Linked DNA regions of Drosophila melanogaster. The protein of the gene in region 2 interacts with the protein of the main gene of each other region in a pairwise test. Each region holds a gene or a part of one and is shown on either strand. Other genes may lie near its edges. The genes, in order: CG42494, GABA-B-R1, Ote and Obp18a.

The links.
Region 1: the proteins of GABA-B-R1 (region 2) and CG42494 interact in a two-hybrid assay, tested with the Drosophila melanogaster proteins (one large-scale study listed by BioGRID).
Region 3: the proteins of GABA-B-R1 (region 2) and Ote interact in a two-hybrid assay, tested with the Drosophila melanogaster proteins (one large-scale study listed by BioGRID).
Region 4: the proteins of GABA-B-R1 (region 2) and Obp18a interact in a two-hybrid assay, tested with the Drosophila melanogaster proteins (one large-scale study listed by BioGRID).

The regions. Positions count from the first base shown.
Region 1 is NT_037436.4:3,182,670-3,187,053, forward strand, and holds CG42494 (uncharacterized protein), read left to right. Parts: upstream 1-2,691; 5' UTR 2,692-2,726; coding exon 2,727-2,753; intron 2,754-2,811; coding exon 2,812-2,908; intron 2,909-2,964; coding exon 2,965-3,283; intron 3,284-3,342; coding exon 3,343-3,627; intron 3,628-3,679; coding exon 3,680-3,803; 3' UTR 3,804-3,880; downstream 3,881-4,384. Other genes in the region: girdin, read left to right, coding at 1-475, 531-769, 830-905, 967-1,130, 1,264-1,368, 1,580-1,997; CG32284 (uncharacterized protein), read left to right, coding at 4,002-4,028, 4,091-4,230, 4,294-4,384.
Region 2 is NT_033779.5:15,014,644-15,019,383, forward strand, and holds the start of GABA-B-R1 (metabotropic GABA-B receptor subtype 1), read left to right. Parts: upstream 1-1,687; 5' UTR 1,688-2,753; intron 2,754-4,740.
Region 3 is NT_033778.4:18,275,083-18,279,071, forward strand, and holds Ote (otefin), read right to left. Parts: upstream 2,096-3,989; 5' UTR 1,998-2,095; coding exon 723-1,997; 3' UTR 525-722; downstream 1-524. Other genes in the region: pen-2 (presenilin enhancer), read left to right, coding at 2,539-2,599, 2,669-2,773, 2,848-2,987. UniProt on the Drosophila melanogaster protein: Inner nuclear membrane protein. Involved in the attachment of membrane vesicles to chromatin during nuclear assembly, and is probably required for centrosome maturation and cell cycle progression during mitosis.
Region 4 is NC_004354.4:19,134,580-19,137,666, forward strand, and holds Obp18a (Odorant-binding protein 18a), read right to left. Parts: upstream 1,290-3,087; 5' UTR 1,265-1,289; coding exon 1,214-1,264; intron 1,160-1,213; coding exon 824-1,159; 3' UTR 502-823; downstream 1-501.

The DNA.
Region 1 (4,384 bases), on a different chromosome or scaffold from region 2:
CGATTCACTGCAGCAGGAGCACAAGCATGCTTTGCAGGATCAGGTTACGTTGCAATGCCTGCATGATCAACTCTCCGCGGAGTACGAGTCTCTGAACAAGGACAAGGAGCAGCTAAAGGCTGCAGTGCGGGACTTGCGTCAGGAGCTGCGAGATACCCGTGAACAGCAGTCGGCATTGGAGCAACGCATTGAGGAGTTGACTATTCAGAACAGCAACATGAAAACATGCAGCGAGGATCTGTCAATCCTGCGTACGGAGCACTCCAAACTGACAGACGACTTCCGCAATCTGTTCGCCACCAGCGATCGCTTCAAGAACGAATACAAAAACATCCAGGAGCAGTACAAGATGGTACGCATGGAGCACTCCAGCCTTAAGCTACAAAACACAGAACTCTCCGGCGAGCTAAATGCTAAGAGCGATCAGGTCCGTTGCCTACAGATGGAGTATAGCAAGGTTCAGCAGCGTTGTGAGGTGAGTTAAAAAGTGTCAAGATATAATATTCTATTAATATTCTTTTTGCATACAGATGTTGATACAAAACAATGCTGAACTGGACTCGGAGCGCAAGGCTCTGATGGACAACGTGTCCCAATTGCTCTCTCAATATCAGGAACTATTGGCCATATCCCTGGAGGACAAAAAGCACTTCCATGAGGAGGAGAAGAACTACACCGAACGGGTGCACAGCCTCAAGCGGCAGAAGGAAAAACTGGAGGAGAAAATTATGGAGCATTACAAGAAGTCAGAAACCACAGTGCACAAGAAGTAAATAATATAACCATACAAAAATATATTTGTTATTAAGCCAATCACTGTAAATTTCAGAAAACCATTTGCCAGCATGCTGGTTAGAAGAGTGAAGAAGGCTAGCTCGGATCTAATGAACAAGGTGCCCAGTCGAGTAAGTTTACTCACAACTAGATGTAAAGAAACTTAACATAAAAATATTTTTTTTTTTTCAGAACCGTCGATCTTGGGTAGATGACGCCCGTACCAATTCCCAGTTCGTGATCGGTTCCGAGTCAGGCGGCAATGAGTCGGATAATAGCAATGAGGAGCCACTGTCCATTGCCTCCGACACGCACCTGCTCCAGAGGAATGTCCCGCTCCGCCAGAGTCTGCAGCGGTAAGCCATTCAGTTGGGTTGGAAATTGATGTTTTTTTTAGATTTTTGGGTTCACGGTATTTGTTCTTTTTACATGTATTATACACAACTCGACATTCGCACCAAACAAACACTGTACATTATGTCGGAGTAGGGATTTGCTGGATAACTCGATCCAACGCGGCGGTGCCGTGCGCAGTAGCCTGCAGGCTCAGAAACGTACGGATTTGAATAACTCACGTAGAAATAGCGTGCACGGGTATGCGCTTTTGATGTTTAACATTCATTCTACCCCATTAAAACTTGCCAATTGAAACAGATCGAAGTCTGTTTCGAGGCTTCAATTGACCACTATTAATCCTTATTCCATCTTTCCCCTTGCACAATGCGTATTTCCCTTCGTTGTCGCTCCCCACCTGTGTTTAAAAAAGTGCATTCATCTAGTTACTGATAAATCATTTGCTTCGCAGCAGTCTTGAAGCGCCAGACGTGACGGGCAGCAGTCTGACTCTCGGAACGGCCGGTTCCAGACGCACCGTTTATCTTATCGATGAGCACCAAAAGCTTCCCGATGGCTCTACTCCCGGCGCCACACAGTCACAGTCTGTTGGCGGCAGTGGCTCCGTCAACGCCGCACCTCCTACACCCGCAGAACCTCAGACGCCTCAGAAGAGTACCGAAAACAATGCCCCGGTGGGCCCAGCTACGTTTCTCATGTACAACCGAATAAACACCACGATCGGAGGAGCCTCGAACAGCGGGGACCAGAGCCCTCTGCTGCAGGCCAGCGGCAGCGTCTCGGGAACGACCATGCAGGATGACAAGTCGGCAAGGAAGCGGACCGAAGACAAGAGCAATAGCATCTGGTATGAGTACGGCTGCGTCTAGATCATTCGAACAGTATACGTCCACAACGTGAACTCGAACATAATGCATTTGCTGACGAAGTATTATTTCGTTTTAGAAATTAACGAATTTATTTTTAAACGCATTAGAACATCGATGTTGCCTTAAGCAAGTTACATATGTAAGTGTGAAGTGCTGCTTAAACCGCTATGATTTGCCTTAAGAAATATTTTACAATTAGACTAGTACATAGTACATACTATAGTTTGTACCTATTTATGCAATCTAAAAACTCCACAAGACTACGCGACAACTATGCGAACATATAACTATCCAGTATACACCCCTATATACACAAAACTATAAAAAAATATGTTAAATATTAGCTGTACCGGCCTCAATGTACGTCCTAAGCGAAAGGCTTTCTTTTTCGCAGATAAGACAAGATATTTAAAAATAGTATTTATATCCGTTCATTTGGTGTTTTGTTAACTCGACTCGACTCTATGTATTCCTAGATATGTTGTAAACCACACTCGTACTCTGCTATCAGCTAACGAACGCGCCTTCAATTTGTGAATATATTTTTATAAATTACTTGTAGCCTTGTACTATTTATTGACGCAAAGCCTAACACCGCAATAAAACTAAGCAAACATACAGAAAATATCTCACTTTTTCGGCAAGTCTCTAAAGATAACCAAAGATACATATAAGGTGATCCGTTTGTCCCCAGTATTTTAGATTGAAAGGCGACTGGAGACAAAAAAGATGTGGCTAAAGGCGCTTGTTCTACTGGTAACTACTACAAACTGTGCGCACTTCGGGCTAATAATCACTTTTTAATAAACTTAAGCTTTCGATTCGATATTTGGCGGCCACGTGCAATGTGTGTCAAAGTGATAGCAATGTCGCTTGTCACAGTGAAACCACTTTTTCCATCTGCTATGACGGTCTGTAAATTTTCTTTAAAAACAAGGGGATTGTGTGACAACGTTTTAATTTCCAGGAGTTCCATCGTATGATCTCTTGCCATGTCCAAAGGACTTTTATTGCACGGATGGCTTTTACACTTGCTATCAAAATGCTAATCCGGTTTGCAAAACAGAGGAGGACACTTCCACCACCGAGATCCAGACAACCAGTACAACCACTCCTAGCCCCATTACCACGACAACCACTAAGAACCCAACTACCACTGCTACCCCAATTACCACAACAACCACTGAGATCACGACTACAGAAGCTCCGTGGAATGCCGACGATATCTGTCAGCAATACACTAAAAACACCTTTTTCGAAAACGAAGATGATCCCACCTGCACCACGTGAATACCCTACTGCTGAAAATTGTTTTCGATGCTAGACTAAAGAGTTCATTTTTCAGTTTTATAACCTGTACAGTTGATAGCGACGGAACGCATTCGACAAAAGTCACTTCATGCAAGGCTAATCAGTATTTCAGTACCAGCTTAAAGGTTTGTACCGCCACAAAGCCGGATGGATGCGTGGAGACGACAACCACTATAGCCACCACTACCCCAACCACCACCACCGTGACCACAACAGCGGCGAGTACCACCACAGCGGAACCCTGGAGTGCGGAGAAAACCTGCCTGACTGTCTCTAAGACCACTTTGTTTCAAAACCAAGACGACCCCACCTGCACCACGTAAGTAGACCACGAATTTCCAGGGAACAACTCACATAAACCATTCTTCTAGGTACCTATATTGTTATTTTATCAATGGATCGGCAACAGCTTTGATAAAGAACTGTAAGACCAACCAATATTTTGATGCTTCCTTGAAATCGTGCAGCGAAAACAAACCGGATTATTGCACCTAAGTCAGACCGTTTAACAGCAGTAATCGATCATTATCAGATTTATTGAAACCAATAAAATATTAGTATAAAACAATCATATGATACCATTTTCTAAAATTGGCAAGATAGGATGGGGAACAGGCCACTACAGTAACTATTTAAGAGCCACGCGGAGCTCTTATGCTTCAGAAAGCAAAAGGCAGTGCGGTTAAGCTAATCATGTGGCTGCGTATAATGTTTTTACTGGTGAGGTCTTTAAAAATATCTTTTACCTGTGCTAATGAAATATATGTACATATATATTTTAGTTGCTGGCTCATTGCCTCACGGCTTTGCCAGCTCCAGAGTTTGACGACCACAACTCGAAGACTTGGAGTGCGGAAGAAGCCTGCAGCGAAGTTACAACCACCACCATAATGGAAAACCAGGCTGATCCAACTTGTAGAACGTAGGTCACGTCTATGGCGTACAATAACCAAAATTATATTATATTTAAATTATACATTATCAGCTACGTTTATTGTTACGTGGTCAATGGATCAGTTTTGTCGTTGATTAAGAGCTGCAAAGTGAACCAGTACTTTGATCCCAATTTGAAAATG
Region 2 (4,740 bases):
ACACTATTTCATGTTGATTGCTGATTGCAGCTGTGCCTGCAAATGTTTTAAATCGCCCATTCAATAATAACTTTCATTTTATTGAATAGTTTTAGGAGATTACCATAACATAAAATAAACGTTCTATTCAAAGCAAATTCGCTAAATATTTCACTGAAAACATTTATAATTTTATGTAATTAAAACGTGAATTTAGAGTGAACTAGAAATCAAAATCAGAGTTCAAAATAATAGCTGGCCTATGCCAAAATAACATTGGAATACAGAAAATTCATAAATAAATCATCAATTTATCAATGCATAACAATTGCGCAATGTTAATTTTCAAACTGCTGTTTACCAATTTGCTCTTGAGTGGATTTGGTTTAATTAGTGCCGTTTCTGCTCTAACTGTCTATGAAATCAATTCAAATATCTAAACAATAAGTGCGTTCTGTAACCTATACGGCAGTGCAAATATAGGCCATAACCCATGCCCTCGTATTCACACATCTGAAAGTTATTTAATCCGCTCAGCAATTTCGATTGCCATTTATTCACTGGCAGAGTTCAAGACAAGTGCATTTCAGCATACCCGAATTCCACATGCGGACATAAATATTTGAGTAATTGATTTCCCAAGTCGACGATGGGAAAACTTCCAATTTCTTGGCTTGACTACTTTTGGGCCAATGCAAATGGTTTATTTTTGACCGCAGAATCCTTCGACTTGAGCGGACAGTTGAGGTTCTCGAACTAATTGCAAAATTGTCAATGATTTATTCAGTTGGCAATTAAGGTGCCAACTAACGGTGTGGCTGGCACGGCTATATCGATTTGAAAATATTCAATAATCCCGGAGCCTTGATAAGCTCATCAAACATGCACATGGCCATCAGCAGGGGGGGGCAAGTTTGTATTTAGAGCCAAGTGTGTTTGGTGAAGGGGGGTTAGCTGTATATTTCAGGGTTTCCCCTTTTTTTGTCGAGCGGTTTGGGGGGGGGTTTTGCGAGGGGACACAAAAGTACAAGTTGCTATGGATCAAGCTCAAGGCGTGGCAGTTGGGCATTAGCTCTATGGTGGAGCACGGCAACCAAGCGAACAAAGGTCAACTCGACAAGTGAGTTAAATGACAAGGACCTCACCTTGCCTTCCTTGGGCTTCGGCTTTGGCTTTGGCCCGTGCGTGTTTGCATGTTTGGCTCGATGAGGCGACGCGACCCCAAAAATGAAACTCAACTTTGGCTTTGACTGCGGCTCGGGATTGTGGCGTGCAAGCATTATGGCCTTTCGCTTTCAAAACAATGCCCCCATCCTGTTTCCCGGTTGGCCTAGTGGCACTTGCTCCTTGTTGTTGGTTTTTCGCATTGCCCTTGGCCAATTGCGAGTGAATTTTGATGTTTTGACTGGCCATTCCTGGGGCCATTTGACAACTCTATAAAACCGGTGTCCTTAAGCCCGCCCTCGTCCTTGCGCCCAACCCCCAATTACCGTCCAACTACCACCCACCTACACCCCGCTACACCCACCCACAAAGTAAACGTAATTGCCCGGAGAGTTTCGCGACTTTCGACTTGGCCAGCAAACTGAAAAAGCGAAACTTCAAAAAACCCGACTTGACTTGGCAACTGGAAAAGTGGAAAAGCGGAAGCACGAGCTTTCCCACCGAAAAGCTCTCGTGCTCTAAGCTTTCGTCCTGGCGAGGCGAAAACGTAAATGTCAGTCATGGAGTTCCAGTCGTCGGATACATGTGGAACACAACGAACACAGCAGGAGCCTCTCGCGTCTCATCCCCCGAATACAATGCGAAAAAGTCTGTACAAAAAATAGACAAATAAGGAGCAGGAGCGAAAACACCACTCTGTGCATAAGATATAACTCCCGCAGAACTGAATACCTGCAAAAAGAAATACGCGTTAAATGGAATTACGGTGCGGGAATTGATAAAGTGAAGTGTGTTACAGCTAGAAAGCAAGTGAAATAAAACGAATACATTAATAATTCATGCCCCTCATAGTCAGAAGCTTACTAGTTTGATAAGGAATTCAACGTAAATCTGATATAGTAATGTAGAAAAGTTGTACAAAGTAATATACATAGCATATAGCATATAGCACAGTTACACAGAACACACCGCAAACTCAAACAAAGTTGACAAAAAAAAAGCTCACGCCCCTCACATCTCAGTTTTTTCTCGAATTATTTGTGAAAGTGCAACAAACATATATAAAAAATAAAAAAGAAAAGGGAGGAGAGAGCACAGCAAAAAAAGGCAGTGACAGCAGGACCTGCAAAGGAATTGCCATCATTTGGGGATTACGGAATTATCGGGATCCGTTCTCATTAAAATGGATTTAAGGCAATGCCGATGTGCTGAGCTGCATTTGTGCATGGGATTATCGATTGTAATGCGCAGTCATCAAATTATGTTTGAACAACGCCGCCGCGACAGCGATAATAGCAACAATAACAACAACAACAACAACCAAATCAACAACAAACACTGATTTGGCCCCTGACCCCCTTTGGCAGCACCCCCTCCATCCAACACCCCCTACGACCCTGCCCAAGCAAAAGGAGCAGCGAAAAAGAAGAAGCGTCTTATGAAACAATTGAAGCACCGGCCAAAGGAGCAAAGGAGCAGACAAAGACAGAGACAAAAACATCGGCAAAGGATAAAACGGAGGCCGAGAAGAAGAGGAAGCAGTAGTAGCAAAGCAGGAAACAACAACAACAACAACCGCAACATCGCATTTTTAAACGGCAATACGCAAAGTAAGTGAAGTGTAAAGTGAGCGAGATGGCAATAGAAAGGTGTAGAGTGCCGCGAAGAGAGGCGGAGAGAATACACTTGCAAAAATGTGAGCAGCTAATTCCCAGGGATGTTAAAAAAAATTAAACCCTCATGGTTCAAAGATTCTAGGAGATGGACAAGTGATGAATGGTCAGTGGAAATATATGTATGTTTTAAGCCAAGTGAAATCAAAATGATTTGAGAAGTACAAATAAAAGAAAGAAAGGAAAGAATGATATATGATATTTATTGGTTGTAGTACAGGAAAATAATAGTTAAAATGATATCCCGGATTGATGGTCATTACAATGATCGTACCACAAAACTCTTTCTAACTCAAATTAAATTGTTAAAATTATTTTTCAATACAAATTTGATATATTTTTGTTTTTTCGCCGACAAGATGCATAGATCTTTCATAGAATCTGAAATCTATATCTTTTTTATATTGCTTTTGAGAAGAGTAAACCGATCATCATCTACGATCACTCCTTTTTGTTCTGTGTAGGTATGAAGAGAGCAGGTGGGAAGGCAGTGAAGTGAAGTGAAGCATTTGTCGCATTTGTGCAGAATTCCCGACGTAATTAATGTTTAAAGTCTGTGTGTGTGTATGTGTGCGAAGGTTTGTAAACTAGGTCACTAGGAAGTTAGCCCCTTGACGACCATCCCCTCTCATCAGCGCCTCTTCAGCGGCAACTCTACGTCAAAGGTGTCAACTCGCCAAATCTGCAACCACACCTTAGTTAAGTGAGCCACCCCGTAGCCACCAAAATTATCCACAGCACCACCACCTTTTATTCGTCCTTAACACACCGCCATGATTAACGCGCCTCAGTGCGATTAACTGGCAAACAAATTTGGAGTGACGCTGCGGCGATGTACATACATACATATATGTATGCATGTTTGTGCTAAACCGACAGCATTTCCATTCAATAACACACGCGGCTCGTATGCAAACACTGTAAAAAGGTTTTATGCTAAAAAAGACGCCGTATTTGTGCATGAAAAACTGTCATTCATCATCCAACCAACACAAATAACCGGTAATGGCATCGCCACATTATGGCTTTGTATTTTTTACATCCTCAAACACAAAAAAACTTTAGTTGATTTCTGACTTGCATCGCATTCATCACCCACTAAAGTCGAGCAATCAATCCTCAAAATACGTATACGCACTGTTAGTTCAGTTGATTAATAGGCTAATTATGAAGGAAACTGAAAGGAAACACTAAATCAATAAATCCTGGCAAATTAGCATCAGTATATATTTGTGTTAGTGCAAACATTTAAGTTTTCTATCAATTTTAAATACAAATATGTTCAGAATTAAGATATATTTCAAAGGGAACTATGCTTTGTTTAATTAAGATTTAAGGTTTTATAACTATAAAAGCCTTCAAAATGTGCCATCTATTTTATATTCACTTACAAGCAGATTTCAATCAAGACCACTCTTTAATATGATATATTATGTCTAGAACAACCGAGAAGGCACTCTTAAATTAAATATTTTAGTACCGTAATAAATTATGAAACGTGCTGACGGTAAAATATATAATACAATTCATACTTTAAGTTATATTTTTTTTTTGCCCTATATGGTTTTACGTATCGGTGTGTATGTGAGTACCTCGCACACGCAGGACATAGAGATAAAAAGGCTTCTCCCACATAAAAGTTCTATTCTGTTTTTTTTTTTTTATAGAAAAATATTGCTGGCAGGAGTTTAGAACATTGCCAAAGGGGATGCGGACAGATGAAGGGGCGGGGGCGTGGCGGGTAAAAGCCATAAAACTCAGGCGCCGAAGCGCAAAATGCCCTTGCCCTGAACAAAAAGAAGAAATTGAACAGCAACAACCAACAACAAAAACAAAGAAGAACAAGAGCAAATAAAATACAAACTGCTTATTTATTTATTTGTTTCGACAAATCTCAATTGAAACAAAGCTTAAAAGCTTCGAA
Region 3 (3,989 bases), on a different chromosome or scaffold from region 2:
AACATCCCCAGCACAACTGGCATTTCCCCCGAGCCACTGATGTTGCAATTTTCATAACTTATTGCTGGCATGCAAGTCAGACCCGGATCCGGTCGCGCTTGTTACCGCTAAATATGGCGCGAAATTTCCTTAAGAAAATAAAGAAATACGCGCAAGTGCGATTTCCAGTTAATAAAATTAAACAGCCCAACTCGGGCAAGGATTTTAAAATAACGCACACCGGCCGCCGAGCCGACTTGTAAAATTCTTATTAATTCTGATTGCAAGGCATTGCAAGGATCGCAGATCAGATCGCAGCAGGAACAATTTAGCTCAGATAAGAGCTGCGCTTGCCTGGTTGCCATTGCGCCTACATTTGGTCAGAGTCATGCCGACAAGTGTTGTACACGCATTCCAGATACTTTTCCATCATTAGCCGATCGTCGTTTGCTGCTGTTTCTTGATCCAATCTGGGCAAACACCTGCCACAAGTGGAGCGCAGTGAATCGAAAGCCGTTTGGAGAAAAAACATCAGAGCAAGTGTTCAACTGTGGAGATTCCCTGCAAGTGGGCTTTATTTGAACACGGATAACACGCAGCTTAAATGCTAGTCAAACTCAAGCTCAAGTTACATCAAAACAAGATTCATACAAAGACCGCGGCGGCAGTCTTGTTTACAAAACATATCCAACATGGTATACAAACTAGATTACAAATTCGAAATAAGAACAATGATGCGCCGGTCAGTAGAATATGTAATAAACGCCGATTAACAAAAGGACGAGGAGTACAATGAACAGCTTCGACTTGATGTGATACTTCTGCTCCAGGCTGTTCAACCAACGGTTAAAGGCCTCGGATACGCTGTTATCATTCGGGCGCAAGGAGCGCCTGGCACGCGGCTCATAGCCGAGAGAACCGCTACCCGCGTTTCCACTGGCCAGAGTGCGTCTGGAATACGGGCTGATGCGATCTCCAATCCGTTCGGCTCGCAAACGAGCTAGATTCCTGGCAAATGTGCTTTCGTACTGGTCTTCCTTGGAATCAGTGTCGTCGCTCAGCTCGTTAGCATAGGTACGCTTGTAGCTGGATGAGTAGGAGGCCACCGGCGGAGCCTCTGCAGTCACATAGCCTTGGGCTGCAGTACGCACAAAACTGCTATAGCGACCGGGTGCTGGGTTGCTCGCATAGTCATAGGACCTGGTGGAACTGGTGGTCTGCGCTCTGGCAGATGGCACAGATGGCGGCAGCACGGGAGCTGCTGTCGCTTCATAGACCTGTCGGCGTGGAGGCTCCACAACCTTGCTTTTGTACTCGTACGTAGTGGTGCCGCTGCTTGCGAGCTTCGTGGTCTTCTGTCTGGCCGCGTGCTCCTGCTCCACCAGATCTGCAGCCTGGACTAGCTGCTCGTCCTCTTCTTCATCGGACTCTAGGACAATCAGGGAGTTGACCTTAAGATAATTCTCCTCTCGATCAGCGCGCTTCGAGGAAGCCGGTTGCTCAACAATGGTTTCTGGCTTCCTCAAGGGCTCCACTACTTTCCTTTCAGACCCCGAGGAGGTGGAAGTGCGCCGGGTCTGTACGGGTTGAGCAGCAGGAGCAGTTGTTGGCTTCCTGGCGGCAACGGGCTCCTCGGATCGTAGGCGGTCGGCTTCGTCGGGGCGTCGGCGTATAGCTTCCTCGGGTAATCGACGCACTGGTTCCTTGGCCTCTGCAGCGGTAATTGTGCGCCGAGCCTTTGTGGCGGGCGCCACCTTGTTGCCATCCAGCTTGTCCACCGGCGTGGAGGCTGCCGCCGGAGCAGATGGTGCACCAGGTGCGGGAGCCAGGGTCTCCCGCCTGTTGGTCTTCTTGGGACTAGCGGCCGGCGACGCCTGGCCACCAATGGAGGCGCGCAGACGCTTTACTAGAACCTTCCGGCTGCTATCCGTCACGGGGATGTTGGGCAGCCCCTGTGCCAGCATCTTGGCGCGCAACTCAGCATTGGACAGAGAATCAAAATCGTCCACATCGGCCATTGTATGGTTTTTCGCACACTTTTAATAATTCGTTGAAAATTGAAATCGGCGTCGCTTTTACGCGGTGTGTGCTAAAATAGTGATGGCAGCAGTATTACCTATCGATGATTCTGTTTTAGGGGATATACAACACTGAAGTGGGCTTGACTTGTAACAGTTTTGGCGTTTTAAAAAAAGGGAACACAAGGAATGATGTTTCATACTAATCATCGCACACATCGCAAAATCGTGCAAACGTAATAAAACATCTATGCTATATTATTATATCGTTATTTACGTTAGATATTGGCAAATGAAACAGTGATCCAAGAGTCGCAGTTTAGCTCACCTCTGTTTCGATAACTTATCGATATCGATTGCGCTCCAATGGACTAAAAACTAAAACACAAATCAACAAAAGCAAAAATTGAAGTGAAAATATAAGCTATTACAATTTACATATTACATACAATTTACATATAAGTACGAAAAAACTTTCCTGGGCCGGAAACAGATTCGAAAACAAAGGAGCAAACACCCACATATTTGAAGAGGATTAATCATGGACATCTCAAAGGCACCAAATCCGCGAAAACTGGAGCTGTGTCGCAAATACTTCTTTGGTAAGAGTTACTACCAATGAGTAATGATTGGATTTTAACCAAGTTACTTTCTATTTGTCTCGAACTTAGCTGGCTTTGCATTTCTGCCCTTTGTGTGGGCCATTAACGTTTGCTGGTTTTTCACGGAGGCCTTCCATAAGCCACCATTTTCGGAGCAGAGCCAAATAAAGAGATGTAAGTCAATATATGAATAGATGCCCATGCCATACAGTCTAATATTCCACAATTTCTTTCCTACCTTCCTCCAGATGTTATATACTCTGCAGTGGGGACTCTATTCTGGCTGATAGTACTAACTGCCTGGATAATAATATTCCAGACAAATCGCACAGCCTGGGGCGCCACAGCGGACTATATGAGCTTCATCATACCCCTAGGCAGTGCATAGACATAACTAGATTAATTCGTTAGCAACTAATGATATTAAAAAAGACTTCATTCCTAAACAAAATTAACGTTTATTATTAATCCATCAGAAGTTCCCGTATATGACCCAAACAAAAGAAGTGCTGTTTTGATTTAATTACATATTTTTTATTCACATCTAAAGCTGTTTTTGTTTTTTATAATTTTCTGTATACTTTAAATATGTGTACTATATTTTGTTGAAATTTCTTAGCCGCTAGTTATGTGTTTTGTTCATATTCGTCCGCCCATATTTGAATGCTTGATTTAGCTTTAGTTAGCCATTTTGTGGATTACATTCTTTGCTTAGATACAATTTCATTGTTTCGAATTCAATTCAATGCGCTTTATCCATCTCTAAAATACATAATTTGTATAAAACTCTGCTTGTACCGTTGCATAAGCCATTATGGTAATTTGTTAAATCCCATTTAATTGTTTTGTTATGTTGTGTGTTTGTATCCGTGAGTCGAATGCCTCCTACGATTTGATTACAAATTGCATTAAGAATGTCAAAAAACCTAGCGACTCCTAAATGAGTGTAAGGAAAACACTCGCCGATCTACACATGAAGACATAATTCAAATTGCTATTATTCGGTAAATCGCTTGCATTTCGTTTGCGGTTAACAGCAAATGCTGCCAACACATATAGTAAATTACAATATTATGTATTAATGTTTATAACACGAACTTGGTGGCAAAGCACCTAAGCAGGGCCACCAAATCAATCAGTGGAACTAATTTACAATACAAAAGACTCGCTTTAAGGTATATTTACAATCAATACTTGTTTTATTTATAAATTCTAAAGAATCAATGTGTATTTGGGATAGGAAGCGGGATTTTTGAGGGCCAGATGGGAGCTTTCTCATTCAGTTTTTCTTTTTTTTTGGGCTTAGGCTACAGAACATTAAGTGCCATAAATCACGCGTGTAGAGTCTATGAAGCGGCTAGTGAATTACTACACACCCACATTCACATAG
Region 4 (3,087 bases), on a different chromosome or scaffold from region 2:
TGCGTCCTGCGTCCTGCGTCTTTCGTCCTGTGTACTATGTACTGTGTCCTTTGCACTCGACTGCGCTGAGTCGAGTTAATGAAAGGCCAAGTCAAATGCCTCACTGATTGCATTGACATCCTTCTGGCCCTTTTTGGCCCTCTTGGCCCAAAATGTATTTGGCCAAACTTTACGTATGATTTGCTGGGAAAATTGAAATTTGCCCTGCATCCTGTGGGGTCGACTGGGATTCATTATTACGTCCACACATCCGCCCCATCAAGTCGGTTCTGCAGTTCACAGTCTGCGATTTGCATTTCAATTATGTTCAAATTGCATCTTCCATATCTGCCATTTCAAATATTATTCAAGCAGGGGGAAAATTTTGTGTTTGGCTTCCCAGTCCACCCATATATGTACATATGTACATGCATACATACATATTTGGTCAGCAAACTGAAATTTTCTGTTATTTATTTGGCCATGTTTCTTGCGAATTTTCGGAAAATAAAGACTCTGATTGACTTATTATTGCATTATGTATTTCCACCAGTTCTACGTTACTTTGCATAAAACAAATCAATAAAAAGCAGACGAGTTTAAAACAATGCATGTCTACTATTTTGCTCTAATACAATTATTAATCACTGTATACAAATAATAATAATGAAAATCACACTTATACTAAGCACAATCGTGTGTAATTTCCATTAGAGGGCGTTTGATCTGATTAGAAGACTCAACAATGAACTGTGATGAAGCCCATTGTGTCTGTCATGTGTGTGTACATATATGTATGTAGTAATGTATATATGTATACTTTATTTTTTGTTTATTTGGTAAATTACGAGGCGATAGTTCCACTCTGCTTGCCCTTAAAATAACACTGGAGAATCAGGTATGGATAGTCGCACGTGTCCAGATTGGTGACGCCATCGAACTGCTGCTTACACTGGGACAAAATCACGTGGTCCTCTTGAGATCCTCGCTTTCCCACCTTCTGCAGATCGATTTTCCCATCATCACCGAAATAATCCTGGATCAGACACCGGCTATAGCACTTAACGGCCACTGGAACATCCGCAACGGGAGTGGATGGAGCCACTGCCTGCACTTGGGCACTGGTCAGATTGTGGTGCTTTAGGCAACCCTCTGCGTTAACGCGGCCAGCTGATTGCCACTAGAATAGATGGTATTGTTAGATGGACACATAACTATTTCGTTAAGAACTGACCATAGTTATCAAGCAAATCCATAGTACAGCTATGCTGCACACAACCTTCATGGCGAAAATCTGTTTCCCAACTAACAATGAGCGCATCATCACAGCTCTATATATATAACCCATCGATTTGCTAATTCAGCTCAAAAGTAGACAGGAGATTTTAATTAAATAATTGGATGCTACTTTACATTCGCCACACACCAACAAATAAAGTCTATAATTGAAATTTTAAGCGCAGTTCCCGATTATGAGCTACACGTATGTCGTATGCGCAATATCTGCATTACAATTGCCAATAGTAAATTACCAACTTGGTTTTCTTCATATTTATTAAGATAGAAAACATACAATTTTTGGCTTTTACACTCCAAGCATCTCTGAAGTTTAAACAAAAAACATATGTGTAGCCTATCTACTGTATTGGACTTTATTCGTATATTTTATATGGTTCATTAATATAGGTATAAATACAAATTATATTCACGCTTTGCGATTTGCAGCGAATATCACATCTTATACACGATGTAAAAAAAAAAAAAATATTTCGTCATGTTTTTAGGTTGGCCGCAGGCAGTGCTCACTGTACCGCCACAATGTTTATCGTTTTGCATTTTTTTTTTCTTTGTTTTCTTGCGGTTTCCCCTAATTATCTTTAGTATAAACTTAGTCTACTGTCTTTTTTGGTAAGTATTTTCGTGATGGGCTCGTCTATGCGAATTCCCATTTCCAATGAATAAATAAAGTAATTAGAACATTAAAATTAGCAATAAAACACGTACATTTAAAGCTGACAACAAAAAAAAAAAGTATTCTTATGTTAAACTGTAGTATGTGCCTATGCAATATTAAGAACAATTAAATAAAATAGCATATTAACTTATGGCAGCACTTTGTTGCTATGTTTATGTTTATGTTTATGCACGCAGTTAGGCCAGGGCGGATGTAACATGATCACCCACTCGAAGGCAAAAAGTATAAGTGCATGGTCAGCATTCACACGCCGACCAAATACATATTACATACGTACATACATATCTCGCTCTCCCGATAAGCCTAGATATATAAGATATACATAAGAACGCCGCTCCGCTGCTGGCGTACCCGGCAGCGCAGCTACGCGGATTAGCCTAAGTCCAAATATATTAAAAACTGTAAAATCAGAGAGACTCTGTAGACGTTGAGCTGACAGAACCATTTCTGCCTACTCTAAAATCAAAAGAAGAAATTGAATAAATATATGTCAGCCCGACGGCTGCCTTCAACTTAAAACGGACTTGTGTTCTGAATTGGAGTTCATCATTACATGGCGACCGTGACAGTCGTCCAACGCTGGACGAATTGACCAAAGCTGGTGAAAACAAAGGAACAAAGGAACACTGGACTGGAAGAAGACTGGACTAATTAAATGGAACTGCAAAAACCAAGGAAAAATCTGAGTGAGTAGAGTTCTATTGAGTATGGGCAAACACCGTGGCGGTTTGAAAACTAAGCTGAATAAACGTATAGCCCACGTAAGGTGGCTAATATACGGTCAGCAAACGCCACCGGTTTGGTCGAAAGCTCTAAAGCTACATGCAGAGCTAGACCACTTGTTGCAATATCAGCAAGAATTAAAGACCCATAAGCTCGAGAAAACTCACTCAGATAATATTAAAAATATACCCACAATTAATGAAGTTCCAAAATACCAGGCATGTCCAGCACCAGCACCAGCATTAACAAAACCAAAGAAGTCCTGCCCCCCTGGCTGCGAAGGAATCTGGAGTCCCCACTGCCTGGGGACTTGTGAGCGACCATCGACGTCTTCAGCGGCGAAGAAATAGACAGCAGCGAGGGAGTGTCAGCGTGCCACCCCCGGCGACGCCCAGCTGACACCTGATGAG